Linked DNA regions of Lepisosteus oculatus. The main gene of each other region encodes a partner of the protein of the gene in region 4 in a complex. Links are inferred from orthologs where the notes say so. Each region holds a gene or a part of one and is shown on either strand. Other genes may lie near its edges. The genes, in order: mzt1, tubgcp2, tubgcp3 and tubgcp5.

Region 1 (7,813 bases), about 11 Mb from region 4:
AAGGTGAAAAATAAGGAGGCCATATGACCCTATCTAGCCTGTATGGTGGCTAGTACCTAATTGATCAGCTTCAACAACAAGGCTAGTAGTTGATTCCAAACCCCCACAACCTTTTGTGAAAAGCAGCACCTCCCAATTACAGTTTTAACAGTACTTCCGGATAGTCTCTGCAGTTCAAGTCTGAAATGCTTGACAAGCAACTATCAAGCCAACACTGCAGAGAAGAAAGAATATGTTATGACATTCAACTCATCACCATATTACTCAACAAGGACCTAGAGGTACCTTGCCAGGTACCTTGCACACAGAGCTCAAATGCTAATCCATGTGCTGTGTTAACAGATAAGGACAGTGTGTAGAAGGCAGCCTCAGCTTCTTAACCACTTCTTGCCTCTCTGTGGCAAAGATCTGCACAGACATAACAGCTTCCACTGGAATGAGACTGGCACCAGTCACAAGGACTCAAAAGAGATTTGGAAAAATTAAAACTGAAGGAAAGAAGTCAAATAAAATAAAAGATAAGGGGCAAAGTAAAAGTAAAACCAAAAGGAAAATGAAACAAATGACAAGGTAATTACATTCCTATACCTAAATAAATGATTAAGAAAAAATTAGATGGAAACTACAGTACCATATTAGCAGGCAATTATGATATAACTGGAAACAGAGAAACATAGCTAACAAGAACAACTGAGATGAATGTAACAATAGATTTTGCAATTTCCCTTACGGGATTAATTAAACCGATGCACAGGCAGTGCGGTGGCTCTGTGGCTAAGGATTTGCGCCTGTGGCTATCAAGTATCTATCTAGACACACATTGTTCCAGTGAGACAGGAAAGAGAAGAGACAGACCTGCAGTTCTATATATCAAAAAGTGCCTTCAGGATCAGGAGCTATAGAGTCTCAGAATCTAGGCTATATAGAGTTGAGGCTACTTGGTCATACTTGTAAAAAACATTCTAGGGTTATAAAGTACTGTTAGGAGTATGCTACAGAGCAGCAATTGAAGATGTTAATTAAAATTAAACGCTGTATAATAAAATGATGAATATATGTGCAAAAGAAGTGGACTTCAACATTGCCCACCAGCCATATAGCGTAGATTTCCAGTGCCGGTCTGGGAGGAACACTGTCCCTTCTGATTTTTGCTCTGACCAAGTTCTTCATGCAATTGGCATCAATGTCGTGTCAATTCCAGTTTCAGAACTGGCCTCATGGGTGTTGACTGAAATGTACCCAATGGAACAAACAAAGCAAAAAAGCACTGAGGTGGGAGAGGATAGTACAGGGGCATTCCCACCCATGCCTGTTCATCATCAACTACTAAGAGCTCTACAAACTGAAATAAAGGCAAGCAAGTTTAGAAGAGATTGCATAAGGTACTGTGTGCTGATGTTGTTGGAAGCAGACCCTTGAAGTGGAGAATTTTGGACACTCAGAAATGACTGATGAAAGTTACAAAGAAGTCTCAACAACCAAGCAGGTGAACAAAGGCATCAGATAGCCCTGGGGGAGCAGACTGCAGCATTCCTCCACAGCCAAATAACCAACAACAACTGACGTGTAGGATTCTCAGCAGCACAAACCAAAATGGTGCATGTAGTTAACAGCTCTTTTCATACTCAATATATCTACACACCTACAAGAGGAAATGCTTTCATTTCCCTTGGCTTTTCAGACATAAAACCAAGACAAAGAGGAAGGACAATTTAGGACCTGTGATCATAACATGGTATGATTTTGAAATAGACTTTGAGATTATCCAGACTGAGTCAATATCAGAAGTTAATTTATAGCAATGAAAGAAAATGGGATAGAATAAATATTGAATAGGGAACGTTGGTCTACACCACTTCAAAACCAACTCTGCTTGAAGCACAGAATAGATTTCACTCAAGAGTGAATAAGTCAGAAGATAAAACTTAGTATACAGATGTTGAAGTAGGTGGCTGCATCAGCATGTGTAGGCTGCAAAGAATTGCAAGCGGAGGTTAGAAATGAAACTAGAAAGGTCAAGAGATAGAAAGGAATAGTGCAATAGAGGCTAGAATAATCAAAGTTTCTTTCCATACTACAACAGCAAAATACGTTAAGAATGGAAAAAATTGTATCCACAACAATAAGGGGTAATTTCTAAGCAAAGAAAAGAAATGGCCAATGTACTAAATGAGTGTTTCTCTCAGGTGTTCACCATGGGGGGAAAAGTCAACAACATACCTGGGGCAGCAGAAGGACAAAGGATCATTCTTAAAAAGGATTAACATCAAGTTTGAAGTACTAGAAGCACTCAAGATTAATAGATCTCCAGGGGATAATTATACCCTACCAACTATACTTAAGGAAACAGGAGATGTCATTCATAGGTTATTGATACAACTGCTCCAACAGTCACTCAAGACACGGGTAGTCTTAGTGACTGACCAATTGATGGGAGATTTGCACAATTTAGTGCCTATCCATATGAGTGACAAAACAGAACCAAATAATTACAGACCAATAGACCTGACTTCTATTACATTTAAAGTTATGAAAACTATCTGGAAATAGGATCCTAACATTACAGCAGTAATAGACAGAGTATGCAATTTGGGATATTTACATTTTCAGACGGAATTTGATAAAGGTCCTCATTAAAATTCATTAGCAAATCACAAGCAGAATGTATTCTAGATAATGTATGTATGAGTGGAGAACTAGTTAACAGAAAGAGTAGGGATCAACAGGGTTTAAAGCAGTTGTATCAATAACCTATGAATGACATCTCCTGTTTCCTTAAGTATAGTTGGTAGGGTATACTTATCCCCTGGAGATCTATGCCAGCAGCCATATCACCCTGCAACTCACAACTGGCAACCCACTGAAGCTAAGCAGGTGTGAGCCTGGTCAGTACCTGGGTAAGAGACCTCCTGGGAAAAACTAAGGTTGCTGCTGGAAGAGGTGTTAGTGGGGCCAGCAGGGTCCATGTGGGTCCTAATGCCCCAGTATAGTGATGGGGGCACTATACTGTAAACAGGCGCCATCCTTCGGATGAGATGTAAAACCGAGGTCCTGACTCTCTGTGGTCATTAAAAATCCCAGGACGTTTCTCGAAAAGAGTAGGGGTGTAACCCTGGTGTCCTGGCCAAATTTCCCATTGGCCCTTACCAATCATGGCCTCCTAATAATCCCCATCTATGAATTGGCTTCATTACTCTGCTCTCCTCCCCACTGATAGCTGATGTGGGGAGAGTTCTGGCGCACTATGGCTGCCAACGCATCATCCAGGTGGGGCTGCACACTGGTGGTGGTGGAGGGGATCCCCATTACCTGTAAAGCGCTTTGAGTGGAGTGTCCAGAAAAGCGCTATATAAGTGTAAGCAATTATTATTATTATTAATGCCAAGGGACCCCTTAAAATTCAAGACCTATATTTAATGACAAAGGACAAACACTACATGCAGCACAAAAAAATCACCATGAGAAACGTTGAACTTAAAGAGGCTCCTCGAGAAAAAAAACTATTTAAAAAGGGAAAATGTTGGTTTCTTAAAAACGTAGAATGCAAATTGTTACTACTGTACTAGTAAAACTTTATTTGCTGTATAATATTGTGTACGGTTTTGGCTAGCACGGGATATTGCCACTATAAAAATCAATCCAAACAATAGCAGCAGGCAGATACGTTCAATGGTTTAAAAAAACGTCCTACACGGACAGTCGGAAGGAAATTATTCTTTCTAGTGGAAAAGACCACAGTGACCGAAGTATTCACAATCCTTACAGGCATTAACAAAGACACCCCAGCAGACGTCTTTAGAATAAACAGTGAAACACAAGACAACAAGACGATACAATGGTTTCCTTTAAGAAACGGTTGGATATGATCCTTGGATACATTTACTACTAAACTACCAAAGGGCTAGAGAGAATGAACATTATTCAGCTGGTACTGTATCTTTATTCAAGGAGACAGTGACCAAACACAAATTAACATCTAACAAGAGGACACAAATTTAACTATCATTTCAACATAATATCCAACGACAAAGCAATAGACTTGGATATAGCAAATCAAAGTGCAATCCTGAATTCAATAGAATAGAATAATACAACATGAAACTGACTGAAAGTGATCTGTTACAATATTTTAAAACAGTTCTTAATACTCCTTTGGTGAGGGTGTCACAGTGTTGTTTTATTAGCTAACTTAACTATGAATGACTAACAATATTCCCTGTGTACTATCGAAACTGAGATAAACTAAGACGGTTCATTTTCATTCCATTAAACTCCACTCCAAAATTGCCGAGATCAGCAATAAAAGTTACTAAAACTAAACATTACATAACATGTCAAGTACAAAGTTAATTAATCAACGCCTAGTGCTGTTTAGGCGATGGATATAACAATCCTACATCTTTAAGAAACTGCAGACACAATCGACTTAAGACGAAAGAAACAACTGTACTAGGAAAGTAAAATTTAACCTACAAGCAGCGAGCCATAGTTGGTTAGCAACATTAGTTTTCAGAAAGTCTGAGATTTATCATAAACTTTCCCAATCATTTAAATAAACTTGATATCAAAATACAATAAAATATATATAACTTACGTATCTATGCCTGAAATGCAATTCTTATTTTTCACACAGTTCTCGGTAAATCGTTCACTTTAATTTTCCTTCTTCTGTCTCTCCCCACCAATTGTAACCTCAGGTGCTGTCTCTCCACCAATAAACGACACCCGGAAGCACAGATGGCCACTCAAAATAAGACTTCTCTAAGAATTTGAATGAAAGCCCCACCCTTCATACGCAACTTCCCTTCAAAATGACCTAACTTTATTACATACAAAAGTGACACTAATGGTATTAATACAAATTTCTGAACGAAATTGTTTTATAAGAACAACTAATATAGATTGTATAGAACAGAAAATTACAAGGATTTAATTGTGTTTGATTTTTTTCCTACATGAACTCAAGTTCATGTTTACCGGGTCGCAATTTAAAATGAGCCAGAGCACTGTAAACATGGCAAGCGCTGCTAATCTGAACGCTGTGCGGGAAACGATGGACGGTGAGAAACACTGCGTTTTATTGTGATTTTCGTGGAACGTGATCGGACGTTCATTTTTGTTTATGAAACTGATTCGGTGTTACCGTTGTTTATCCGATTGAACACGTCGTTGATATTAATAATAAAATCCGCGCCAGTGTTCCCGCTGCGGCCGACTGCTCCTCTTGGGCTATTGACGTTTTGTCGTTGTTGTTATTCGATTTTAATGTCCTGTATTTTAAAAAAGTAATCCCATTGGGAACTTGAACGGAATGTATAGGTTAGTAACGCTTAAATAATTTTATTTCTGTTATATACAAAGTTTGACTAAATCCTGGTTTTATGTGCAGTATAACTTATTGTGTAGGTGTACTCAGAGGGATTTGTACACTATATGGGAAAAGTATTAGGTAAAATCATTTACATAAAGTAAGTTAAATTGAAATGAAGAATACGACTAGTGCAAGTTGGAAGTGCAATGCAAGGCACATGAATAGTCATATTGAAGATAGTGGTGTGGATACCACACAGGAAGAAAGGTAGCCTAGTAGCGTGTAGTCCATTCCCACAGTTAATAAGGACAATAAGCAAAGATCAGATCACCTACCTGACAGTCAAGCACAAATGAAGATTGGAATTAAGAGCTGAAAGATCACAATTTAAAGCTTGAGAGCAGAAGCCTTGATTAAAGCTATACTGTATAAATTAAAGTGCAGTAGCTCAGTGGTAAGATACTTAAAGTTGTGTTTGTCCATGTTGTTCATGCCTTTTTTCTTTTTTCGAGAAACTAATAGATACATTACTAGATGAAACCTAACCTGGCCTCAAACTGAACAAAATACTTGTTTTGTATTATGTGTTTGTTATATCCTGTTCAACAAGAAAAAGTGAGTCCATTGGAGTCTTATTTAGTGATTTTTGTTGAGCGTCAGCTTGTGTAGGCTGCAAAGGAACAAGTAAAGGCTTATCCCAGCTGAAAAGAAATACAAAGTTTCAGCTGTGGAGCCTTCTTCAGGTGTTCTTCATACCCGAGAAGGCTCCACAACAGAAACTCTGTATTTCTTTTCTTCTTTTTTCAGCATGGATTTAAAAATGGACATTGTAATCTTTCTTTTTGTTTTAAACACACAAACCTAAAGAATCAAAGGAGCAATAAGTACAATAGCATAGCAGAACTTGCTGATGGAAATAATGTTGCACAGCCTAACTAACACAAGTTTATTCTTAGTTCTTCTAGAGATATCAAGGCTTCTTAATACAGGCTTGGACATGGAATCTCTTTCTATCTGTGTTCGCCTATGTGAACAAGGAATCAATCCTGAGGCACTCTCTTCAGTTATAAAAGAGCTCCGTAAAGCTTCTGATGCACTAAAGGTACAAGCCAATATTTTTCTTTCTAGGTTCAAAGAACATGGTTTGTTGGGTTTTTTTTTGCTTCAGGATATGGAATCCTTCTTATGAAAATGGTATCGGTCACAGTTGGAATACTTGAACAAGATAAGCTTTCTGCACATTGCAGAAATATTATCTGAAAGTAGATGTAACTTCTTTTAAGATGTACACCTTTTCTGTTGTCTTTACCTTCTGTTACTGTAATCAGGAGCTTAATTATTTAGTTTTTTTCTGTGGCTGAAAGTGACTGTATGCTGAAGTTAAGACTCGAGACTTCCAACAGTTATAGATTAGTAAGTTAAATTAGTAAAGGAATTTCAGTCTCTAGTACTATGTAAATATGCTTTGTCTCAAGGCATATTTGAGGAGTTCTGATGTTCCTGAATAACTCCTGTGTTAGCAGAGTGATTTGATCACCCCCTTGGAACTGAGTTCAGATTCTAACTTCAAAAAGTTTTCATGTTGAGAATAAAGTAACTTGACAGTATTGGAGCAGCCCAGTGAACCCTGGGATTCACTGGTACTTGGCCTCATCTGTATTAACTATCAGCCATAGCATAGTTCTCTTCTGATGTGGATAGACCGTATTTGTACACTTCCACTGCTCTGCAGCTTTACTTACTGCTATCATAGCAAGTTAAAACACAAAATCCCTTAGACCTTCTTACCATTAATTATTTTAGACCTTATGATATTTGTTCTATTCCTGTAATCAATTATAAAGAACACAAATTTATGGTAATGTATTTTGTTTGAGACAAATTAATTCTTGAGGTAAACAGCTTTTGTGCTAGAGGTCAAGGTTGGGTGATTTAAATATTTAACTCAACTCACTGATTTAATTCAATTCAATGACTGTAGCCTATTTTAAATCAGATTTAAATACTGTTTAATTTTAACATGGTGATGTGAAGTGGCAGTTCAGAAGAAAACTTGACTGTAATTAGAGTCATAAATACATGAACGCACAATAACAGATGTTTGTTTTTGTGTATTGGGCTTTCCAAATACCAAGAAAATGCTTTCAATTCTTTTTTTATTGTCATAACATGCAAAACAAATCCAAAGTTTTCTGTAGAGATACTTGTGTAAAACGCCATTTTCCAAAATTATTTTAAATAAAAAGTTTCCAGACCTGTGTGTATAATGTGATAAGATGGACCTCAGAAGTTTTTGTTGTGGCTTTACTAATGTTTAATGTTTTCTATTTTTTACATTCTTTCCACAGACTTCTGAAAACAGCACAAGCTAAGAAAGACCAAGATGCTCTTGTTTGAACAAACGTTTTCGACAAGATGGAACCACAGAGCTGGGGAAGATATGTCTTCATAAAGAATTCTTTGTTCACATATAAAAGGGTTACAGTTTTGTAGAACAAAGTT
Region 2 (7,132 bases), on a different chromosome or scaffold from region 4:
TTCATCCACTCCACTTGCTGTAATGCTGTAATAGTAAACGTTGAGCAATGCGGCGTGGATAAAATTAAAACTCGGTCTCATTTTTCTGATGTGCAGAGAATTGCACATCGCAGCTTAGAAAGACTTACCAATAGGCACTGCTGAGTCAGTCCCACTGGAGCCGGTGATAAAATCCCCAAGAAGAGCAGGCCTGTCGTACACCCAGTTGGGAAACACTGGAATTGGCTGCAGGGGACTCTTCTTATTGTGTCTGTCCCTCAGCATCTTCCTCGTCACCTCGGAGGGCTACAGGAAGTCAGGACACACAAGGGTGGAGTCCCGCCTTTCTAAACGTATTTACTTTGCTCCAGTAAACTTAAAGCAATCAACATAGAAAAATGCAAAAGGAAATCCTAACGCTAAAGCTTGTGCCGTGCAAAGTTAGAGCATGGGACACAACATTATTCTACAAAGGTTATTCCCGACTGTACAAAAGGTCTCTAACCATACTCCTGGGAAGCTTAAATGGCTTCTGCTACTAATTCGAGGCAACATTTCAGCCAACTTTTGGTTTAATAAGCCCATGTGAACACTTTCTTTCAATCACAGACTGGGGCTCTCTGTTGCCAGGGCTCTTCAATACACACAGCAGTGTAATGTCTCTGACTTCTTAATCACAGGAAGACAGAAGAGACTGAGGAGCCTAAAGAGGATATGGGCTTACCTGCTGTACACTGGAGCTGGCTGCCACATTCCCAAGTTTCTTCCTTAGCTCCTCCAGCTCTTGCATGGACATCTTTGTGCTGGTGGCAGGGATGCTGAAGTTTGTGCTGCTGGAGGAGGCACTGGCTGACTGCTCAGATCTTTCCTTGGCATTCTGCTGTAGACACTGCAGGGTCTAAAAAACAATGAAATACCCGCATTTACTGTAAGACTGCTACAGCCACGTCCCTCACATCAAAGTGTTTTTATTATCTGCAGGTACTTCCATCACCTCCTTATCTTCAGTCAGCTTGGACAGCAGGTAGACCAGAGGATCCACGTTTCGCACATTCCTGGATTTGAGCTCATCGTATTTCTTCAGGAAGTCTTCTGGTGTCTTAGAAAATTCCGCTATTTTTACCTGCAATGAAACATTTTCTCAGTCAACCGATAATTGGCTGGTTAAATATTTCTTTTAGAAAAAACAAGACTGATGCAAAACAATGGTACTTTGAAGAGATAGCCAACATGGATTTAGAAAGGGAAGATAACTTACTGGAACTTGCTGAACAAGCAGTAAAGACAAAAGTTAACACAAAAGTAAAGTAAAGTTTCTATTTATCTTTAGGCCAGTTTCTCTTTCCTATATCAGCTAATTTAGATTCTGCTATATTTCAGAAACTAATTAGATTTCCAGAAAACGCAAACATAGGAGAGGCGCCCCACACAGAACTTCAGCTACTGAACTACAAAGACACACGGATGAAATCAAGGACAAGGAATCACGTGATTGCACATGAAGTTTATGTCAACAGTGCAATCTGATCCACAGAGGAACACACACTACACATACAGTATCATAATACTATGGGTGACTGTGACCTGCAAGAACATATGGATATGGAAGAGACAGATGTGTTTATGTAGCATTCTCTTTATTGGCTGTGGGGAAGCAATGAAAAAGCACATACAGTACAATGCTTGCTACAGCAAATATTGTTCAGCTTTAATTAAGAGACAAGGACCAAAAGGGAATATGTTTAGGATTAAAACATCCTTTAAATGAAGAATGGTGGTTTCTGGAGCAGGCTTCCTAGCTAAGTGGTTGAGGATCAAACTTTGTTCTCCTTCAAGAAATGACTGGATGAAATGTTAGATTCAGCTGATAAACTACAAGCACAAAGCTTGACAATGAGAAAACGAGTAAGAAAAACACCTTGATTTGCACCTGGTCTCCCTTTCATTGGAAGGAACGTGGGTTAGAAAACATAAAAAGCCTTTGCATGTCAAGAGAACGGTGCCAGTCTTAAATCCAGAACTTTAAACGTCGGTAGGACAGAGTGAAGAAACCGAAACATGTGACAGCAGTCTGCTCCACAGTGGCCGATATTACCCCCGATCCCCACCTTGGCGCTGTGCGCGGACACTGTTGTGGTGACGTAGGGAGTTCTGTTCTTCTGCAGCAGGTCGATGTACACCTCGGCTCCATCTCCTCCGCGGACATGCAGCAAGCTGAGCAGCTCGTTCACGTCGTGGTGAATCCGGAACTCGCTCATGGCTACTCTCTAGAAGGGGAGAGGGAGACTTCCGAATAACCATGCTTTACAATAATAAGGAAATAAAAATGTATAAAAGGTCTGGTGGCTTTTTAATAGATGGAAAAGGTGTATAAAGGGATTTTTTGACAGTAGTTTTGATGCAGACTAGACGTGGTTGTCACTTTGAAATGTACCAGGAGCATAAATTACGGGAAGAAGACACTACTTTGAGGAGAATCATACAAAGTTACAAGAGCTGAACGGGTACGGATACAGCAGTACTGTACAAACATCCTGCTTGCGAATTATTTCTCCAACAGTGGGCAAATACACAGATGATGCATGTACACTAGTAACAGATTTTGTCAGTAACCTACCTTTAGGACACTCTAGATCGTTAAAAGAAATGTGTACTTATTTGTTGTCTCGGTCCAACGATGTTTATACTGTATTCGACCACAAACTAGACCGCTAGCATCTAGAGTGAGTTACACACAAACAGCAAAGATGCTGAGAACACCAGCACATCGGATACACAAATAAACCAGTAATTAATAATTCGTCTTTATCTTCGGTTAATGACCAGCATACTATAATACAAATACAAGTAATAAATGTGTCAGCCAAATGGACTTACCGCCCCTTAGCAGCGCGAAACACAAACACTGCACTTCGCTCCGCCCTGTAAAAGCTTCCGCCACTGCAGGGAAACAGTATCTCACCAAAGAGGTTCCTCCCCGACACCCTCCAGTCCACAGCCTCAAGACTGTAAGGAGCAAACCGTAAGAACATTTGACTTTCACAGTCAATGGCTGATCCTCTTTTCATGTAAAAATGGTTTTGGATACACATGAAATGTGTATTTCTGCATGTGTTCCCAACGTAATCATTTAATGTTTGTTTTTGTTTGGCAATAACTGAAACTGCTGAAGCGTTTTACACTCTTCCAAGGTTGCTGTAAAAGTGCAATTGCCTTCCAGATGTCGCAAATAAATTGAGATTTCAGTCAAAATTAGTCCTTTGGAGCAAACGCAATAAAATTGCTCAAATGTTTTTTCGGTTACATAGGAAGTGTCCGTCTCCATCGCCTCTAACCCCAGGAGCAGCAGGACCACGGAGACACCCTGAGCTGGGCCGCGCCTGCGTCATGAAGTGTAGCCGAGGAAGCGCAACAAATGACGTAACAGCAGCGTGCTTGCGATATTGTAACTGACATGTTGCCGCTCGAATTAATCCGGTTTTTAACAGCAGCAGGCACCAGCAGCACCGACATTCAGGCGATACCAGTCCTGCCAGTCCAGCGGATAGCAGAAGAGCCCAGTGCGGTACAGCAAGTCAGTGGCGATGGTGAAAACGTCTGCAGCTCGCCTTTTGATTTCACTCCGCAACGAATACGGTTAAACAAGGACCACGAATTATTTGAAGTACGTTTTTTTTTCGAATTGAGTAAGAACTGTGAATTAAGCGACTTAATGAGACTTGGTGCTGCTCAGTTCCCATGACTGCTTGCTGTATGTGTGTGTAGGGTGGGCTGTGCTCCAGGGTTTCTACGCCTCGGCAATCTCTGCAGTCTCTGCAGCTGCTCCAGTGCTGCTGTAGCTCCGACTGCTTCCCACCGAAAGCCTTTGCATAACTCATGCTTTCGCTACCTATTTCCGTGTCACTATATGTAATGTGCTCTGGAGACAAAACATGCAAAATATGGCGGTGTAGTTTTTTTATTATACTTTTTTCATCTTTAGAATCAACATTTTATTCTTTTAATTCATAATAAACAAAACAATCGGAAGGAAATAAAATCGGTCTACCAAGAAAGCAATAGGAATTTTCCATGCAAAAACTGAGACCAGCCTTCTCATTATTTTTGTATTCCGGTCTCCGTGAGTCTTTGTGATGATGCCGTTGTAATAGAAGTTATTCAGTATACAGACCGGAATGCTCCCACAGGTGTGCGGAGCCTGAAAGGTGCTCCAGTCCTGCTGGCCCAGGAGATCTGATGAATGTTGTGGGAGTGCAGTTCATTAGCAGGGAGACGCGCTGCAGAAAGACGGAGATTGAATTCCAGTGTGGAATGAGTCACGCGTGTCGACTCTTCTTGAGTGGGACCTGTGTCCGTAACCTTGCTGATGTTTTTATATTCGACTGGACGATATTTTTAATTTACCACAACTCAAGAGTTTCAGAATTAGTTAAAGAAGCATCTTGAAGTGTTTTAAGAATCCGTTGGATTCTTGAAGCCTAAAATGATATAGGACATACTGTAAGGGGACGTGATTGCTATCATTTTCGACAGGCATGGTGTCTTTCCTTATATGGCTTAGTGGTTGGCACCGTTAAGCCTTAAAGGATGAAAATACGTGATGCATCTTCCAAAGGGTGTTTGCCTTCTCATCTGTATAAAACCTGAAAATCAATAACAGAAATTGTTAGTTCCACGAAGAGATTGAGAACTCATCTGAAAGGCATGCAGCAGACACTTTGATGCTCTTGGGCAGCAGTGGGCATTCCTGCCCCTTTCTTTAAATATCCAGCTGCTTACAGCTCAGACAATGGTCGGTGTGTTTTCTGACACATGCAGGCGCGACCGTGCAGGAATGGGGTTAAACAGTGGTGCTCTGTGGGACTGATTAAAGCTGTGGTCCTCGTGACCTCGCACCTGCTGGGTGTGTCCAGCGGCCCGGACCTCCAGGCGCTCCGCCGAGCCCTTAATTCAATTAACTACTTGATTATTTCAAAGGGTTGGGTGTGTGAAGCTGTTACACAGCTAGAGGTTTTATGACAACTGAAGCAGCTGAAAATGCTAAAGGCAGATCATTGAATTAAGCAAATTATTGGGTTCAGTTAGGGATCAATGAAGCAGCTCTCAGTCCAGCTGGAAGGAAATCTGGAGACAGGAGCCCAGGAGGGGGAGGTGATTCTCGTTACTGAGTGTCAGATCTAGGGCTTGTGGCAATTCAGAGGAAATGGTTCCCGAGTGAAGGGTATTTTGCATTCATAGAGAAATTCCAGAGGTTATTTTTTTTATATTTGTACATCCTAATGCAGCCCATTGCCCAGTTAGCTCCTGTGCCTTGAAAAGACAGGTGTGTGTGGAAATTGGTGTATGCATGTATTTCTGTCCATAACCGCATCAGTGATGCATTGTGTCTCTGGAAATTACTCCACAAATATCATTCTTTGAGATTTCAGTATATGTGCAATACCTGTGCTGTATGTTTCCTAAAAGGTCTTCATTTTTAGTTCTATCTTTTTGAACACTCTGTATTGGTGATAGGAAAGATTGTTGGGGAGAGTTTATTCTGTGCAGAACATTGACTATACCAACATGACATTTCTTTCTAAAACTAACCAGAATGGCTGTGCTTCTCTTAACAGGATGGGGATATACAGAGACATCTGTACCTGCAAGATGCTGCCACTAGTGTAGCGGAGGCAACTGATAGGCCAAAGTAAGTATCGACAGTCATCGCTTCCCATGCATGTGGCTTTCTGAAGGAGCATGGCTAGTCTGCTTGTCTGACCTCCGATTTGCAAACAGCCATCCTGGCTCCCTGGACGGTACATTAGTTCCTTTGCTAGAACTGCACAATTACCTCTTGCTAGGATGTATGGTGTTCACTACATTTCGAAAGAGGGATTAGTGTTGGCTATGTACAGTGTAATAGCCATTGTTACAGTTAATATAATAGTGAACAACCTTGTTTCAGTTACAAGGTCAGTGCTAATGCAGCTGTGTGTAAGACTGGCAAATAGTTAAACAGCCATAAGAACACACTCTAGGAAATGCAACCTGTTCCCTCTAAAACCAAGCAGTTCCCTTGAAGATTCGGGGTGGTTTTTGTTCTGTAAAGCCTTCTCTCCGAAAGGAATGGCGATCATGACAACACTAGGTGTTGCACTTTTCGAACCTCTCATTGGAAACATGCCCGGCAAGTGATTTCATATGGGGAAAACTCGTCTCGAAGGGCTTTGAAACTTTGGACGGAGAGACCTGAAACACGTGGGTACAAACCGGAGTGTACGCTACGGCACAGGGCCGAAGCGCCCCAGCTGTGACCGGAGCCAGTCCGCTCGCGTTCCTTTGAAGTTCAAAAGCCTGGGTGCCCCCGCACCCACACAGACACCCCCACCGTCTCCCCTCCAGGGTTTCAGAGTTCCAGTGCCACATCGCTGGCTGCAGGGAGCTGTTCGACACGCTGGAGGGCTACGAGCATCACTACAACGCGCTGCACCGGAACGTCTGCGGCCACTGCAGGCGCTCCTTTCCCTCGGGCCGCCTCCTGGACATCCACATCCCGGAGTGGCACGACGCGCTGTTCCAGGTCCTGGCGGAGAGGCAGAACATGGTTCGTCCCCCGCGATCTTGGCAATGGGCGGGAGGGGGAGCCGATATGCTAAGATATAATCTTTTCCGAAGAAAACGCTTGTTCCGCGACAGATGGGATAACATATCGGTACTCTAAATAGCGCTAGCGTTGCACAATCCCTCAACGGACTCCAATGGACCTAGTGTAGTGTAGGAACAAGTAAAAGTTTATTCCACGCTGGAAAAAGAAGAAAAGAAACGCAACGTTTCGGCTGTGGAGCTTTCTTCGGGTGTCACCCGTGTTTCTTTTCTTCTGTTTACAGCACGGAATAAACTTTTAGTTGTTCCTTTGCAGCCTACGCATGCCGACGCGGCTACCTACTTTATTTTGTGTAGACATACATCAAGTTCATTCTAAAGATATTTTTAAATGACGATATGACTTCAACTTGTAAGGAGCTGTAATTCCAAAAGATGGGTCAGGTGAAAATAATGATGATGCACAGGGTTATCGTCTTTTCCGTATTGCTGATGTTGAAATGCTGCCATCTAGCGGTGGCGGCAAGCTGTTCGTGCTGCTGATGTAGGGGGGGCGGAACGTGACCTA
Region 3 (7,880 bases), about 4.0 Mb from region 4:
GAACTACTTTTTTATTCTTTTGTTTACAATATTCCTAAACGGAGCACAGTAACAGGTTTCAAAAGAAACACAAATTAGAAACTTAACGCAGCCGCTTTCTACACTGCAACGGATTAAGATATAAATAACACCTACACTGATCCAATCATTTGGCCATTTTAATTTTGACCTTAAAACCTCATTTCCAGTTTTCGCCTATGTAGCAGCAGCATAAATGGCTTAAAAGCAAAACGTCTATAATGCTTTAAAACGGTCAAGGACACTCTTTTCATATCGATCAAAGAATAAAGAGGATGAATTATGTAATGCTGGAGGATTATATTATTTTTTTAAACATTATAAAAGCATTTATATCAATTATAGCATTGTCATAAGCTTGTTGTTAGTGGGTGCTTGGTTTACAGGATTTAACGGTTTGTTCTGCATATCAAAATTGCATAAATCATAATTCCGTTTTTAATTAAGATGTCTTTGCTATAATCCAGCATGTACATGTCTTCTAGAAAGTCACATTTATTTTCCCTTTCAATTATATTATATTACTGTTAGTACGATACATAGTTTTCAGAAACAGTCAGTATTGTGGGATCTCTTTTGACGCAACTTGCCAACTTGATAAGATAATTAAACGTCTGATCTGAAGTTAAAGGAATAATGTTCTTGCAAACTCTCGCAGGTGAAATAAGTCTTGCTTTGATTTTGCCACGAGGACCGCACCAGAAACTACATCACAAAGTTAAAGTTTAAAGTTGTCTAAAACTTGAGGAATGTGGCATTGCGCACAGCGGAAGAATTGCGGACTTCAAATCCCCACCGGTATCCGTGCCTTCCAGTGCTTTGACATTTTGATAGAAATAAAGGCGAACAGTACTGTGCATTTTCTTGGCAAGATTTATTTGAATAAAACGACAGGTTCCTTATTTTGGTTTGTTTTGGTTTTCCAACATATTATTTATCATATCACAACTCGTTCCCTTGTATAATTAGCTTATTAAAGAAGCCAATGCAGGCCGTATAATTCAGCAACGGTTCGTGGCTCAGTCTCTTATTGCGTATACATATAATTGCATGTGCAGCGAAGAAATTAATAACTACGTTTTCTTCGTCAGCCAACGTGTTTATCGTCACTGGTGAGGTACAGCCATATCGCAGCAGGTAACTCACAACCCGCACTGTAAGCGGGTTAAATTCTTGACAGGGTGTCCAAAACTAAGTCTTGATAAAGGCGTAGGGGAGGGTACGTGACACCCCAGGTAGGATGTACACATAGACACAGTGTTATCGATCTGCCCTTTAAATTAGCAGCCGGAAAGCTGAAAAGTGACAACTATCTGAGTTAAGTGATCCGGTCTGCCTGGGGTTTCTCAGGTAGCTAAGCTTCACACAAAATCATTCTGCAAAGCAGGTGGTTCATATCGTATATCCCTCAGCATTCGGGTTTCCTGTGCTACTCTAATTTTGACAAAGTGACAAATATTACCGCTGCTGCCCGATTTATCCGGGGGGGGCGCCGGATTAAATCCCGGCAGACTTCTCCATTCCGCTATAACAAGTGGCAGCACACCTCAACGCACGCACACCTACTCCACCAACGCCATGCTGCACTGAAAATGCCCCCTGCCTTCCCCTCCTGCTCCGTGAACGGGTCAGAGTGGCATCTTCACCATTTCCCGTAAACCTGAACGAGATACGTCTGCATCCCCCCGCGGGGACGGCGAGTTAACACGCGAGCCGAACCAACAAGTTACAATAAAACGAGCGACTTGATGTCACGGCAGCAACACGTCGGTGCGCTTTTACTTACGTATCTATTTATGAGGCTCCGGAGAACGCTGCAATCCATTCCTCCCGACAGCTTCCAATTGTTCTTTTGGATATTCACTCCCCTTGCCGTCAAACGCCGAAACCGCTAGCTAATTTTCCTTCCTCTCCTAAGATCCATGCCGCGACTGCCGGACACCTGACTCTACAGTAGGTAAGTGTGGACTGACAGCAGCGTCCGACGACCGCAGTTCTGCTCCTTCTCACCTACGGATCCCGAGCACGTTAGTCAGCAGCAGCAAGAAGCGTGTTCGTAGTTTTCGGGGCTCCTTCATTTGCACATAATGTCTTTGTACTGCGACAAGAATTCAAACCGCAGTTTATTTTTTGCTTGGTTTTTTGTTCCCCCTTGACGATGTCTCTCTTTTCTGTTAGTCCCGTGGTCCCGCTTTCCCTCCTTGACGATCTGCCTTCCCTTCTCTTTTTTTTCCTCCTCCTCCTCCTTCTGTTTTATTTCTTCCCTTCTTTCTCACCTTCGCCGTACCTATAATCCTGCCTCGCTCCAGCTCTGGTGAGCTTTTCTTTCAGCGGACGTCACGGGGGGCGTGGGCGCTTGCGCACTCCGTTGTCACACCCACTCGTGTCGGAGCAAAGCGGTGTGCACCAGCATTGATTGAAAAAAGCTCACGCGTAGCTCCATCGGCCGGTGGGTGCTTAGTTAGTTGCCGGTAGTATAAAGATTTTCACATAGATTTTTTTTTCTTACAGCACAGTGATATCATTCAGTGGTTATTGAATTTCAGCGAGGTTTTAGGTAAAAGCGGACTAGACGCAAAGATATCACAGTAAACACGTCTTTTCATCTTTTGGCTTCATACAGCTTCCAAGAATCAAGCGTTATGTCCATAAAGTGTGGTCAGTGCTAGATGAAAAAAAAACATATTCAAAGTTTTAATACATACATTCTACTCCCAGTAAACATGATAAATGAACATGTAGGAGCAGTAGTAGTAGTAGCGATTAATTCCAATCCGCCAAAGTCTGTTTTATAGAGACTTTTATAAAGTTTTATAAAGTTGCAGCAACTTTGAATTTTGTATGAGACCTAAAGCAGAGTGAATGGGACACTTAGTAAAGTATTATGCAAAAATGCACAGTTTATTAAATTAAATATATTTGTGGTGATCCATTCATGTTTTGAGCGTTTTCAGTATTGCATTCCTGTAATTGTAATAGTATAAAGTGACTCAAATATATTTCAGCTGCACAAAAAAGCACTTCAAAACAAGTACCCCTGTTTTTAATAAATATGCTGTAGTTGTTACCATTATGTTGAACAATTTATTGTTAAGTGTTCAGAAGAGAATACTCATCAATCAGCTGTGCAATGATTCATTCATACACGTACAGTACCAAGTGCATGTCCTGGACACAAACAAAATATCCTACAACTTGAAGTTAGTGCATTCTTGTCTGGAAAAGATCTGCCCCGAAACCAAAATAATCACAAAGAAAGCAAAATCCAGGGTTTTGTTAATACCAAAGCTGACACCATCTGAGGTTTTTGAAGAGGTGCACGAAAATGCAATAAATCCAAGAAAGATGTAAAATTATACTAATCGACAGCACCAGGTTGTATCAGTAAAGTCTGCATAGTGTTCTTGCTCATGTAAGACAACAGAAGGGTTTGAATATGGCTTGGGGGGTGGGGTATGTATAGGATATGTAATCAAATTCAGCGATTGTTAACCACTTAGAAATAACTCAAGAGCCGCATCCAAACCATATCGGTTACCAACTCATCTTCCACACTTTGTTGCTAAACGCAAACAAGGGCATGGACATACGTCTTTGGCATTCTAAACTGAGATGTGTATCTAACACCATGTGACAATGAGGCAGCCGAATCAAACGTAAGAGTGTAAAAATAAATACTTAATCAGGCTGAAGCTCGTCCATGGATCAAACTTATAACATATCCTTAATGGAGGACCACTTGCTGAACAGTGTAATCATCAATACATCAATACCTTTTTCCTGATTATTATTAGTTATTAATGGACCTTGTCTCCTGTTAAAATTAACGCAGCAAAGGAAACAATTGTCAGCAGAGATAACGTTATTTTTTTTAAAGACTACTTTATATTCCCTATTTATCCTTTACATGCTGGAGTAACTCTTAAAACGTCTTCAAGAGTTTTCATTTATTCTGCGCCCTGTGGAAAGCAACCGAAGCTAGCAAGAGAACAAAAGTATTATATCGTTGTTATTGGGATTAATTCGTTTTTTGTAATAAATTTTGACTTGATTGCTTACTTGCCTGACAGCTAGCATACGATTTTCTTTTAAAAAAATGGAAATCATTGAATTTTGTTACATTGCTGTTTTTTCATCTTTTATTACAAATATTCCACAAACACTAGTCATTCGTAATAAAATATTAACAACTGAATGCATAAATAACACTTTCAATGTACTTTGTATGTTTATATTTTGGATTCTACGTTCTGTTCCTTATTAATACATACAACTAATATTGAAATCAAATAATCAAAATAATATTGATTTATATTTATCACACAAGTACAATGAGTAATATACAAGAACAGGTCGTTAACACGTCAATTCTAATTCAGAATATTGATAATATGCAGATTATATATTAAATTTGATGATATTACTATTTTAATTGCAAACAGCAAAAACACTAGTGGAAATAAAGAAGATAAATGCAGTTTATGGGATCTATTGTATTTCAGACCTTTTTGCCAGATTAGGAATATAACCAGTTTTCATCAGGTGCGACACGTTTGTGAACAAAATGTTCTTAAAGACCATATAAACGCTTTTCATCTACAATCTTCACCTTTCGAAACTCCCCCAAACGATATTTGACGTGTCGAAGAAAAGAACGATCGTGCAAGGCAAGTGCAGTCGTGAAAATTGAATTATCTTCGTTTTCTTAAGTGATAAACCCCAACGCACGCCTAAAACAGAAAAGGTAGGAACTGATGTCATGCTAGGAACCACTCTTGCGTTTCTCGTTCTTCGGAGGGCAGTATTTTTGTTCGATTCTCCCTTGCCTTTCGGAGGATTATGGGACACCTCCATAGATAACACAGTGAAGAGCGCTGTCGGCGGGTTTAGCGAAAATGGCGCCGTTGCTAAGAGCGGAAAGCCACGGCAAAAATAACGGCTGCAGGTAGATTTGGACAGCGACCCGGAGCCGTGTCAGACAGATCCCTGATATGGCAGGCTTGGATCAAAAATCGCCCAACGTCTTGCTACAAAGTCTCTGTTGCAGGATAACTGGGAAGAGCGAAGGTAACAGCGGCAAGGGGAATATTTTAAGTAACGTGCTTGTTCCATCATAGTTCAACATCATACTGCATGAGCACAGAGAATGAGTCAGTAGATGTTTTTACAGTAAGCATATTGGCAGAAAACAAATCAATAAGGCGACGCCTAAATGATCGTCTTTCCACGTTGGAAGCAGGAGTTTTTTTTGACGGAGTAGTGAATAAAGCGCCTTTCCTCGCTAACAGTCCCCTCTTTCTCTGACTGTTGAAATCTGCAGAACAGGCCAGTGTTCATCTCTTGAGCAGATGTCTGGTATCGTTAGACACATTTTATTTGATAAAAACAACTATAATAATTACGCGGTTTTAATTCACGATGGCCGGCAGCAGGCGAGTTTTTTTATCTTGCTAGTTGGGGGAAGACTCATTTACCATTTCTATTTGTAGTGAATGTACTGGCTGGAGAATTGGCCCTGATGAAATTATGACATGATTGGTAGGTCGATAAAGATGGAAGAAAGTAGGGATATATTTCTTTGGCAAAGAAGCAAAAAAAGTCCTTTGTCCTTGAGCTGCTATTGTAATGTGATGAAGAAGTGCTTTTATTTGAAAGACTCCAGTTCACAAGCGTATAGTTTTGTAATCTCCTGTGCCAGTGTGCTATTTATCTTATATACTGCCTTTAATAGCGCTTTATAACCGATATCGGATATTATGAGCTGCATCTTAATTGGCACAATATGATCCCAGAATTTTTGTCAGATGCAAAACTAAAAGTATGAGCACGGACCTTAATAGGTTGGTAAATCCTACTGTTTGTGAGCTTTTAGGGAGTTTGTGATCTGGAAATTGGCCGAGGTCAAGGGGGGAAGTTCATGGCTTCAAGCGTTCTCATTCCCTACCCAGCCTCTCAGTGGGGAATCTTAGTGGTTTATCTGGACTCCCTGCAACTGAAGGTGAACAGATGGGGGTGAAGACAGTTCACGTTTAAATAACACAGGAATGATTTTTTTGTATTTATCTCTAGTCTTAAAAAGCAACTGATTCTTGTATACCAAAATCCAGAATGTGCCTGAAGCTGTAACTGTGAAGAGTCGTTTCTAACTGAAATTGCAGGACCCTTTATTCATGTACTTTTTAATACATTGTAACTTCAGGTGTTTTAGGGAAGAATGAATAGACTGCATTTAGAACAGTCTCACTGGCTGCCAAAGAAGGTATTATTCCTCATGAAGGCCTTTGCTGCTTTTTGATTCTTTGTATTCTTGGCAGACTGTTGTTAAGGAAGTTCTTCAGCTGTAACACCAAGGTCTTTATTCATGTGGTGAAAGAGGAATATGGTGCATTGTGATTTACATTGGCCTAAATCTGAGACATTTGGTTGCTTGTTGTTCTCATTCTTCTCTGGTCCCCTTTGTCTGTAGGGCTCAGTGACATTCTCCATTTTTAGTGTCTTTATACTTACATGATGGCATCACAGCAGAGACCCACTTGTTCATGATTCAGATTTGCTGGGAGTCACAGTCTTGTTGTCACAAAGCACACACAATTTGGTTCCTTCTTATGGCAGGATGTTGAGGTTGAAAGCTGAGTTTAAGAGCTTAAGAATTTTCTTTTCTTTAAGGCCTGAAAATCTCTGTGACATTATCCACCTGTGTGATATCTCAGTTTGCTGTGGTGGCCTGTAATCTCGGGATCTGTTGGATTGTAGTTATTGTCATTAAAATTATCTTCTGCTTTTTTCAGCCGATGTCGCCCACCAGTTCCAGTATGCTGTGCGAGTCATTGGAAGTAATTATGCTCCTACAATTGAACGGGATGAGTTTCTTGTAGGTGAAAAGATCAAGAAGGAACGTGAGTTTGTTTAAAATAAAACCTTTTGATGTTGCATGTTTTTTCAGAAGTGTTAATTAATATTGCAGTATTAATATTAAGCCCTTAATAGTATGCTGTATGTAATTTTTTAGTTTTTTTAGTTCGTGCATCTAGTTATAAGTTCTGAAAACTTGATTTCTGTATGTGTCAGAAACAGTATCCCTTAAGATTTCCATTTATACGGTTCCATAAAACCTCAGTTTATATTGTGATCATCTATATCTTAATTAAACAACACTTCTCTGGGCTGAAAGGTTTTTATTGTTTTCTTAATGGCAAATGTTTATCTCTGGGAAGAAAAAACAATTACATTTGGGAGATTACGCCATATTCATGTCACATAGTGTCATTTTAATATTTAATGTGATTGTGGTGTTTATCATGATTTAACAGGCACTTTATTTCTGCAGTTGTGAAGCAAAGAAGAGAAGCAGATGCAGCACTTTTTTCTGAGCTTCACAGGAAACTTCAGTCACAGGTTTGTTTTTTGAGAAACGTATTGAAAACAAAACGATAATACATGAAACGCAGAACAGATAAGGCTACATTACCTTTCAGTTTGAATACTCTCTTCTATTCCAGTATTGGTGGTATTGCTTTTGTAGCAAGGCATTTGAGGCATTAGGTTAATCATGCAAGTGCTTGAAAAATGTTAAATATTTACAGATTTGAAAAGGTAAAACCACTGTATGGACTCTGTAGGTTTGTACAAGATATTGAAATTCTTTGCTGCTGCACAACTCTTAACTTTATTTTGGAATTGAACTGAATGACTGTTTAGTTTTATATGAAGCAGTTGCTTGGTATTATAGTGCCAAGCAGATTTGCAGATGTGTTTTGGTCACATCTGCAAAATGTAGTATATGAAATTGGATCTTTTGCAAAAATGCTATTTCAGCAGAATGCAAAATCCATTACTAAAATATGTAATTGAATATAATTCCT
Region 4 (7,976 bases):
ACCAGAAATATTTAGCATTTCTTTTTGCTGTAATAAAATCATTGGATTGTGTTCCTACTCAGTTCAAACAGATTATTATTTTGGATGAGTAGTTGAGAGATTTTTTATTCTTTAAATTGTGATTTACAATTCTTAATTCTTGCAAATAACTTCTGAATTTATAACTTACAATTAAGCCGATACTATTAAATGAATATTAGATCAAATTACAGTTAAAGACAGGGCAGCTATCACTGGTAACACAATAGCAACGTCTGGATGTTCTAACACAATGTATTCATTGTGTATTTATTGGCGAAACGACATATTAATACTGTACCTTTGTTCACATTTTCGTTCGCCTCTATGTTTTGTCCACGTTTGTTTTCTGATACCCCAGCTTACGCATGACCTCGCCGCAATATTTCTCGACTTGAGCGACCTGTTCAACGCTTAACCTCTCTCTCCAAGCGTAAATGGCTTCCTTGGCATCCCTTGACGAAATAAGAAAGGGCCTGTCCGAAGAGTAACCCTCGCCATGGGTCATGTTTATCACGAACTTTTCAATGGCTGGCGAAGAGGTCAGATTGGAGAAACTGTACAGCCTCTTCAGTTCCCGCACTGGGTGTAACACAAGGTCCTCGTAGCGCAGGTGAAGGTAGTTCCTTCTTACCCATTGGGGTGCGTTCATGATGTGCAATATGTCGTTGAGCCAGTTATCGCATATCACCTCCATAGCGGTAGATACATAATTCTCCACTCGCGTGGACCTGTTGGGTATGAGAAGGCGCCTGTATTTTTCCGTCTGTTTCCTGCTTCTCAGCACTTGAATGCTTTCTTTCACCAGTGCCTGTTTAGATTTCAATCTGGAATTGTGGACCGCCCGGGGGTCTCTGAACAGCTGAATCACCTGGAGGTTCAGCCCGGGGTCCCTAATCAAAGGAACCAGGACACCAAGATCCAGGACCCGCACGTCTTTTATGACAACAACGGGATACTTCTTGCACTCTCTCTCTAATTCCCTGATGTCTTTAGGTTGGCACTTGCCGCAGACCTCTCCGTTTATCAGCCCAACGTCGTCTCTCCTGTGAGCACTGCACAGAGGCTCGGAGCAGATCACCTTGTTCGTCTTCCATCCGAAGATAAATGAGGTAGTGAGGTTTTTGTTGCCCGTGTAGAGTTTTAAAACGGAGAAATCGCAGCGGTAGAGGGAGTTCATCATGTCCCTCACCGCTCCTTGGAGACTCCCTGCATCACCCGGGTACAGGGTCTGCCACATATTCCACATGGGTTCATACAAATAAAACACATCAGGATGCTGGTTAAATAACTCCCCTAAAAAAGATGAGCCTGTTCTCCAAGTTGCATGAAGATAAATGTGTGTTTTCGTTTGGCTCCTATTGATAAAATTTTCCACCGTCTCAGATTCGTTGCTGGATTTATCTCCAATATTCCATAACTCCATTGTGGTTTCCAAATCGGGGCATTTTGATAGTGGCAGTTCATTCCGGACCTGAGCTCTTCTATTTCTGTATTCCAACACATAAGGAATGAACAGGAGCAATACGGAGTACACTATAATTAATATGAGATATTTCTTCTGTAGCCTCCTCTTCATTTCCTCAGCGACCGAAGCGCTTAGCGCACTCCTACTGATTTAGCACCCCTACATGAAGCCTGACTCCGGCTTTAGACAAACTTTGAGTTAGAAAAAAAACCGGTATTGTCAATCGCCTCTGAACACGCCCACTGCATTTCAAAATAAGAGCCGATAGTCACGTGTGTCCCCTTTTCGCAAACTATCCATTTTCATTAGAATGGAACTGTATTTTTCCACAAATGTACAAAACGACATAAAAAGAAACTGTCACGGGGAAAATAGCATGTTTTCAGCTACGGGCAGACTTTTGAAATACATGCAATTAAGAAATGTCCGTTTTGAGTTACTTGCCAATAAAAGTCGATGTATTACTAAATCGAGTTAAAACTAAAAAAAATGTTAAAACTATGGAAATCGCTTGAATGAATAAAGTTTGCAGCTGTGTACTTTTCCCTCAAAATTGTTATTGTAATTTACTGCCATCAAGCATTTTGTGACAAATGAAAAGGTTGTGTTTCTGTGTAAGCTACAGAGCTGCACTTATAAAGACATCTATTTCTGAGTGTTGGGTACAATATGCAGGAAACTACGCAAGATTTATAGACTTATTTCTCTTCTTTGTGCAGCATGGCGCTGTAATAAGGTTAACCTGGCATTTTCTTACAGCTGCATCGAAGTGTTTGGGAGCATGGACAACCATCGACAGGACTGTTCACTGAACTTCCAACCTCGGCCAAGTTTCAGTGGTGTAAGCGAAACTTAAATTCCAAAATCCATTTCACATTTGACCAAAGCCCCGTTTAAACAATAGAGTAAGACGTAAACAGCTTAAAACACTGTAAAATCTATTTAGTGTGCAGCCATGCCAATTTATGTGACAAAACCTTGATAAAGCACACAGCTGTCAGAAAAACTGCTCCGAATTCATTCAGATATATCACTTACTCTGGCACAACATTTTAATTACCCTACTGGAGATGTAGCAGATGCACTGTTCTTGGAGAAAAATGCTGTCTTCCTCTGCAAATATACATTTGGACACCCCAACAGATTAGCACCTTGTCAACTAACAAACATTTTTCCACATATTTAATCCAATTAAATGAGAGATTTGTAGGCTCGTGTATTTTCTTTAAGTATTCTAAACTAGCTGTATATATGGTACAATATTCCCCCTTGACCTTGTGTGCTTACAAAAACGTTTGATCTTTTAATACAGAATTACCAGAGTTACATTAAACGGGACTTTAAAAAAAAACAATTTTTAGTTTTAATAAGAAACATGTATCTGAAGCACTGAACTCAAAATGTTCTTGTTGAATGCGCATATTGTACATATCTTCAAATTCGCATTGTCTTCATCTTGTTGCCTTTGTACTATAGTAAATTAGCAATAGCAATAAACAGTGAAGTTACTGATGCTGTTTGTTCTACTTTCTAAACATGACCTTTTCTCACAGAATATTACATGTACTGTAGATAAAGAGCACAAGGGGTAGATATGGAAGCTCAATTTTCTAACTGGCTAAGGTATGCCTAAAACCAGAATTTCAACCCACATATCATTGGAAATAGATAAATATGTCCTGTTTTCGTAGTTTCCTGTTCTACCAGGGTATCTACACAAAGGAATGCCACCATCACATGCTTCATTTGGAGATGATTTTGGAGTTTCAATTCACTTTCATATGAAGGAATTTTATTTTTCTATGCTGAAGTCTTGAAGGTGCCATATAATGTGTTTGCAAAACAATAGTTACTTAGTTTTTTTAAACGCTTAAAATGTATAATGACAAAATACAGAAGTAAACAACAAGAGATTGTAGGCATTGCTATAAAAATCAGAAAATAGTCATATACTGTCGATATCACGTGTAATCACATTATATATTTTATCTCAAAAATGCAACGTGCTTCGTGTTATATCTCCGATTTGGAAACATCATCTTTTATAAGATAAGATAACTTTATTGGCCATATACAATTTCTTGTATTAGGAATTTGTCTTTTCACATACCCCAGCTTGCGCTCCGTGAGACACACAGACAGAGAGAGAAGCTTGAGGTCAGAGCACAGGGTCATCCATTTATATGGCGCCCCTGGAGCAGTTGGGGTGAAAGGCCTTGCTCACGAGCCCAACGGAGTAGGATTTCTCTACCGGCCGCGGGATACGAACCGGCAACCTTCCAGCCACAGGCACAGATCCTTGCAGATGGCCCAGATTAAACCCAGACGTCACTTCAGAGTGTCATTTGTATGGAAATAGGATTTTAGGGAGTAGTCTGTGTAGCTTTTCAATAGACAGGCCTTACTTGACTAATGTGTTAGGTTTATGTGTAAAAACAACAGGAACATACAGAGCATATGAGACAGTATATTTACATTTTCAGGAAGCCTTTACTCACAAAATTGCTTTTGGTAGGCATTCAGGGTAATGTGTATGATTAGAGTGAAAATTGTTTAATGAATAGAAAACTAAGAATAAAGATAAGAGCTGAATACTCCAACTGAGGAATGTAATTAGCCTGTGGTGATCTATTTAAGGATCTGTCGTCTTTCTAATTTATATCAACAACCTAGATTCTGGTGAAGTTCTAGTTATTTAGCTAGTCAGGTTTGCAAAACCAAATTAGAACAAGCCGCAAACCCTGTAAAAGTAAAGAAAAGTCTGGACTGGGCTCACACTAGGAAGATGATATCTAATATAGACAAGTGCAGAGAGATACATGCAATGAAAAGAACCATAAACTGTACATGTGAGATGGGGAGCAACCTGCAGAAGCTGTGAAAAAGCCTTAGGTGTCTCTGCTAACACATGCTTTATGTTTTCTAGACAAGGAAATGATAAAAAAAAACAAAGAGACGTTTAGATTACTTAGTTAAAAGTGTAAGATTTAAATTGAGGGATGTTATATTAAAATTGGAAAATGCACTGAATGTAAGATCATAATTTAGAAGACTGTATAAAGTTTTGGTAACTCTGTTACAAAAGAGATATTTATGTTTTGGAACCAGCTCTGAAAAGAGCCACCAGATTCCTTTTTCAGGCTTAAAGAAATGGCCGTGGCTGACAGGCTAAAGGATCTGCGTCTTGTCATTCCAGAGAAGACTAGAATTCTATTTTCTGGAAGTCTTAAAAATGATCATGAAGCAGAATACAAATACAAAATGAAGAAAAAAAAACACTTTAAAATTTGGAAATAACAGAAAAGGGCGTAAAATACACAATATGGCTAAAGAATATACATAACATGTCCTTATTTGGTAAGAATCAAAATTACACTTAAGATTTTGCTTTATGTTTCTCAGGTCTCTGCTTGTAAAGAAGTCGACGTCTACACGTGCTGTTTCTAGTCTTCGCTTTTCCAGGGAAAGTAACTGCTCGGCCAACAGAAACACAGAGGAGGGAGGTTCGGTTGGTAGGAGCCGCTGTACACAGCAGTGATGGCGGAGTCAAAACAATTCTGTATTCAACAGAGAAGTAGCCTTTGTATGATACATAATTAAAAATAAACAGTTAAATAAGAACAAATCGTTTATAGCCGATATCGGGATATTTAACTGTTGCATGCTTTTAAGCGAAGGATGCTGTACATCTAAGCTACGCAAAGCAAAAACAAGCGATTTCTGATAGTGTGATTGAACACAGTTCGTACTCGTATTTATTGTAAGCAATAATTTCGAGTTGGATGTATCGTCTCATGTAGTTTATGGTTTTAAGCTGTATTGGTTGTGCTCAACTCAAAGCCTATCCCTTCTGCATACTTTGACCACACATACGAGAGAGTCCGGATGATCGTGCCTAACGTTTACAGTAGAGTAGTATATATAGTCTGTATAGTATAGTCTATAACTATAGAAACTGGCACCGGAGGTCCCTTACTTAGCATCACAATGGCTCACTGGACGAAATTTGAAAAAGATTTGGAAATCGATACGAAGAGGCTAATAAAGCTCATCAGTGGGATACAGGATGAAGAAGACCAGAATTTCCAGATGGCATTAAAGTTTGCCTGGACCAATTTCAGGTGAGGGTTTCATGAGTGATCCCAAGGCTCGGGCCTGAATTCACATGGCAGAGGAATGTATTTGCTGCAGTCTTCATTCTCAAAGGCTGGCTTTGTCACTGACAGTACGTTTGTGAGAGGGACTAAAAGATCCGTCTTCACATTGAGTTGTAGTTCTTTTGCCATATATGAACCAAGACACTGACAAAAGCATTGTTATGTGTTTAAATTTGCAGGTTCCATCGATACTTAGATGTCAACAGTCACAAGGTGCAGCGTACAATCAGTGGGTAAGTTCAGTCGATCAAGCAGATTAAATATTCTTCTTTCTGAGGAGATTCTGAAGATCAAGACAAAGCGCCTACAAGAATGTGACACTTTTTTCCTTTTTGTTTCAGAATCCATGAAAAGCTAATAATTCACTCAGATCTGAGCAAAGCTACAAGCTGGAAACGACTGACTGAAGAATTTCTGAATGCACATCTTCCAAACACAGAAGGAACAAAAGTGATAGATTGTTATACATCTTGTGAACTAAACAGCTTGTTTCTAAGATTTAAGATTTAAGATGTGATAAGATTTATTGTCCATTGAGGGAATTTGTTTGTGGACATCAACAACAACAAAATTGAGCATCACTCTATTGCACATTTATAACACATAATAACATATAACATATATAACATTACAAAACATGTTGCACACAAGTGGATTGTAACGATAAAACAATGTTTATCCTTGCCATTTGCATTGACAGCTTTAATGGAAAGTGGAACAAAGGAATGTTTGTATCTGTTTGACTTACATTTGAGAACCCTAAAACGTTGTTGAAATGCGCTAAACTAAAAACAAGAAAATTAAAAAAGCATTTTTTCTCTTTTTTTTTTGCAGACAGAAACCCATCACAGTATCCTAGCTCTCCTACTCTATCTTTCTGATTCTCCTTCCAACACAGATTACACTGAGAGGCCACGGCTGAAGGATGCTGGTAAGTTAATGGACATTAACATAGCCACAATGAGTAACTGGTGTTCACACAACACAAACTTTGTGTTTTGTGGCCTTTTTATTATCTCTGTATTTTCCGTAATAATATATCTTAATACCCAGTATACTACTGGAATAAAGATGAAGCATCAGCACACAATTAACTCTATAAAACATGATAGGTGTTATTCATCTGGCAGAATGTTGCAATAATTGAGTCGTCAGTTTAATTCTGTGCCAAATGTTAATCTAACACCTGTGAATATGGTGCTTTCTATGATAGTCTTAGTTGCTGTATCTTAGATTTGGCATTTTGACTATCCTAATACACACCTTTGAGAGACAAATTCCCATGAGCCATTACAATGAAGAAGTGTGCACAAATAATACAGTACATTTATCATCTGCATGTCACTAATTGATTTCCCCAAAGCATGCTGTCTCATTCTGACTCAGCATATTACCTAGACTTTTTGGAGTTGTTTGTTTGTCTGGGGGAACTATGAGCACTAACAATAACAGAGGCTCTTCTGAGATGCACAGCAAAGTAAACAACGGTAACATTTACATAATAAGAACACCTCCTGTAAGATTCATTGTTCTGACAATGAAGGTTTTGTTTTAAACAGCAGTACCAAAAGCGCAACTAATTCCAAAAATCTTTGAATAATTTGGAGCTCCTGATTCCAATATTCAGGATTTAAATGTTTGTTTGAAATGCATGCCAGTTTTGAATTTTTAAAAACTTTGGATGGAGATAGTACCCATCTCCAGGCAGCAGTGTGGAGTAGTGATTATGGTTATGGACTCCTTACTGCAATGTTTTGGGTTGAAAGGTCAGCTGCTTTTGTGCGCTTGAGCATGGAATTTCAGATCACTTCAGTGAAATCCCCAGCCGTACAAATGTAAGTTACTTTGGACATAGCGTGTGTTAAAAAATACGTTAATCTCTGGGATACATTTCATGAACTCTCCTGTGGCTTCATATTACCATTTACAGAGTGAGCATTCTCCTGAAGAAATAAAATCTTCTGAATCTTTAATCTGCACTCCCAGTTGTTTGAAATAAACCTTAAGATCTGTCAAATGTCAGAGCTGCTATTTCATTTTCACATTTTCTGTTTCATATTGCTTTCTGATTTTTGATAAAACATTCGAATTTATTTTATTTTTTCAAGAAAAAGAAGACAATTTTGACTGGGGTAAATATTTGATGGAAGGAGAAGATATTGACATGGGCCCTTTTCCAGACACTCCTGTAAGTGAAAGGATACTAGTTTTCTTAAATCCTTACTGCCTTATTCAATAGCTGGCTTGCACTATTCATTACTGAAAATACTTTCTTGCAGAACTTATAGGAATGTTTCTCAAACCGATCAAGCTTCAGCTAATGTCAAAAGTAT

Evidence for each region.
Region 1: the proteins of tubgcp5 (region 4) and mzt1 are in contact, whole or in part, in a crystal structure (PDB 6L81), measured with the Homo sapiens proteins. The link is inferred for Lepisosteus oculatus from reciprocal best matches to the Homo sapiens genes TUBGCP5 and MZT1. Residues at the interface, in NP_443135.3 of Homo sapiens: Gln14, Gln15, Asp18, Val19, Glu21, Leu22, Val23, Val26, Ala27, Gly28, Asn36, Ala40, Phe43, Ala44, Asn47, Phe48, Arg52, Phe53, Leu54, Phe72, Lys80, Ser83, Trp84, Leu87, Thr88, Glu90, Phe91, Ala106, Ser109, Ile110; in NP_001065243.1 of Homo sapiens: Glu23, Val27, Leu28, Glu30, Ile31, Ser32, Ile34, Leu35, Asn36, Thr37, Leu39, Leu44, Ile46, Cys47, Val48, Arg49, Leu50, Cys51, Glu52, Gln53, Ile55, Asn56, Pro57, Glu58, Ala59, Leu60, Ser61, Ser62, Val63, Ile64.
Region 2: tubgcp5 (region 4) and tubgcp2 share a complex: the UniProt entries of both Homo sapiens proteins name them as parts of the gamma-tubulin ring complex. The link is inferred for Lepisosteus oculatus from reciprocal best matches to the Homo sapiens genes TUBGCP5 and TUBGCP2.
Region 3: tubgcp5 (region 4) and tubgcp3 share a complex: the UniProt entries of both Homo sapiens proteins name them as parts of the gamma-tubulin ring complex. The link is inferred for Lepisosteus oculatus from reciprocal best matches to the Homo sapiens genes TUBGCP5 and TUBGCP3.

Annotation. Positions count from the first base shown.
Region 1 is NC_090710.1:33,537,670-33,545,482, reverse strand, and holds the start of mzt1 (mitotic-spindle organizing protein 1), read left to right. Parts: upstream 1-4,809; 5' UTR 4,810-4,969; coding exon 4,970-5,060; intron 5,061-6,267; coding exon 6,268-6,413; intron 6,414-7,659; coding exon 7,660-7,683; 3' UTR 7,684-7,813. UniProt on the Homo sapiens protein: Required for the recruitment and the assembly of the gamma-tubulin ring complex (gTuRC) at the centrosome.
Region 2 is NC_090699.1:17,551,318-17,558,449, reverse strand, and holds the start of tubgcp2 (gamma-tubulin complex component 2), read right to left. Parts: upstream 3,007-7,132; 5' UTR 2,857-3,006; intron 2,247-2,856; 5' UTR 2,238-2,246; coding exon 2,088-2,237; intron 1,103-2,087; coding exon 974-1,102; intron 878-973; coding exon 704-877; intron 286-703; coding exon 129-285; intron 1-128. Other genes in the region: znf511 (zinc finger protein 511), read left to right, coding at 3,434-3,643, 5,595-5,668, 6,364-6,565. UniProt on the Homo sapiens protein: Component of the gamma-tubulin ring complex (gTuRC) which mediates microtubule nucleation.
Region 3 is NC_090710.1:26,101,174-26,109,053, forward strand, and holds the start of tubgcp3 (gamma-tubulin complex component 3), read left to right. Parts: upstream 1-4,863; 5' UTR 4,864-5,009; coding exon 5,010-5,085; intron 5,086-6,806; coding exon 6,807-6,914; intron 6,915-7,345; coding exon 7,346-7,413; intron 7,414-7,880. Other genes in the region: atp11a (phospholipid-transporting ATPase IH), read right to left, coding at 1,805-1,843. UniProt on the Homo sapiens protein: Component of the gamma-tubulin ring complex (gTuRC) which mediates microtubule nucleation.
Region 4 is NC_090710.1:22,064,488-22,072,463, forward strand, and holds the start of tubgcp5 (gamma-tubulin complex component 5), read left to right. Parts: upstream 1-4,969; 5' UTR 4,970-5,473; coding exon 5,474-5,607; intron 5,608-5,822; coding exon 5,823-5,876; intron 5,877-5,984; coding exon 5,985-6,093; intron 6,094-6,477; coding exon 6,478-6,574; intron 6,575-7,751; coding exon 7,752-7,831; intron 7,832-7,976. Other genes in the region: chst7 (carbohydrate sulfotransferase 7), read right to left, coding at 344-1,597. UniProt on the Homo sapiens protein: Component of the gamma-tubulin ring complex (gTuRC) which mediates microtubule nucleation.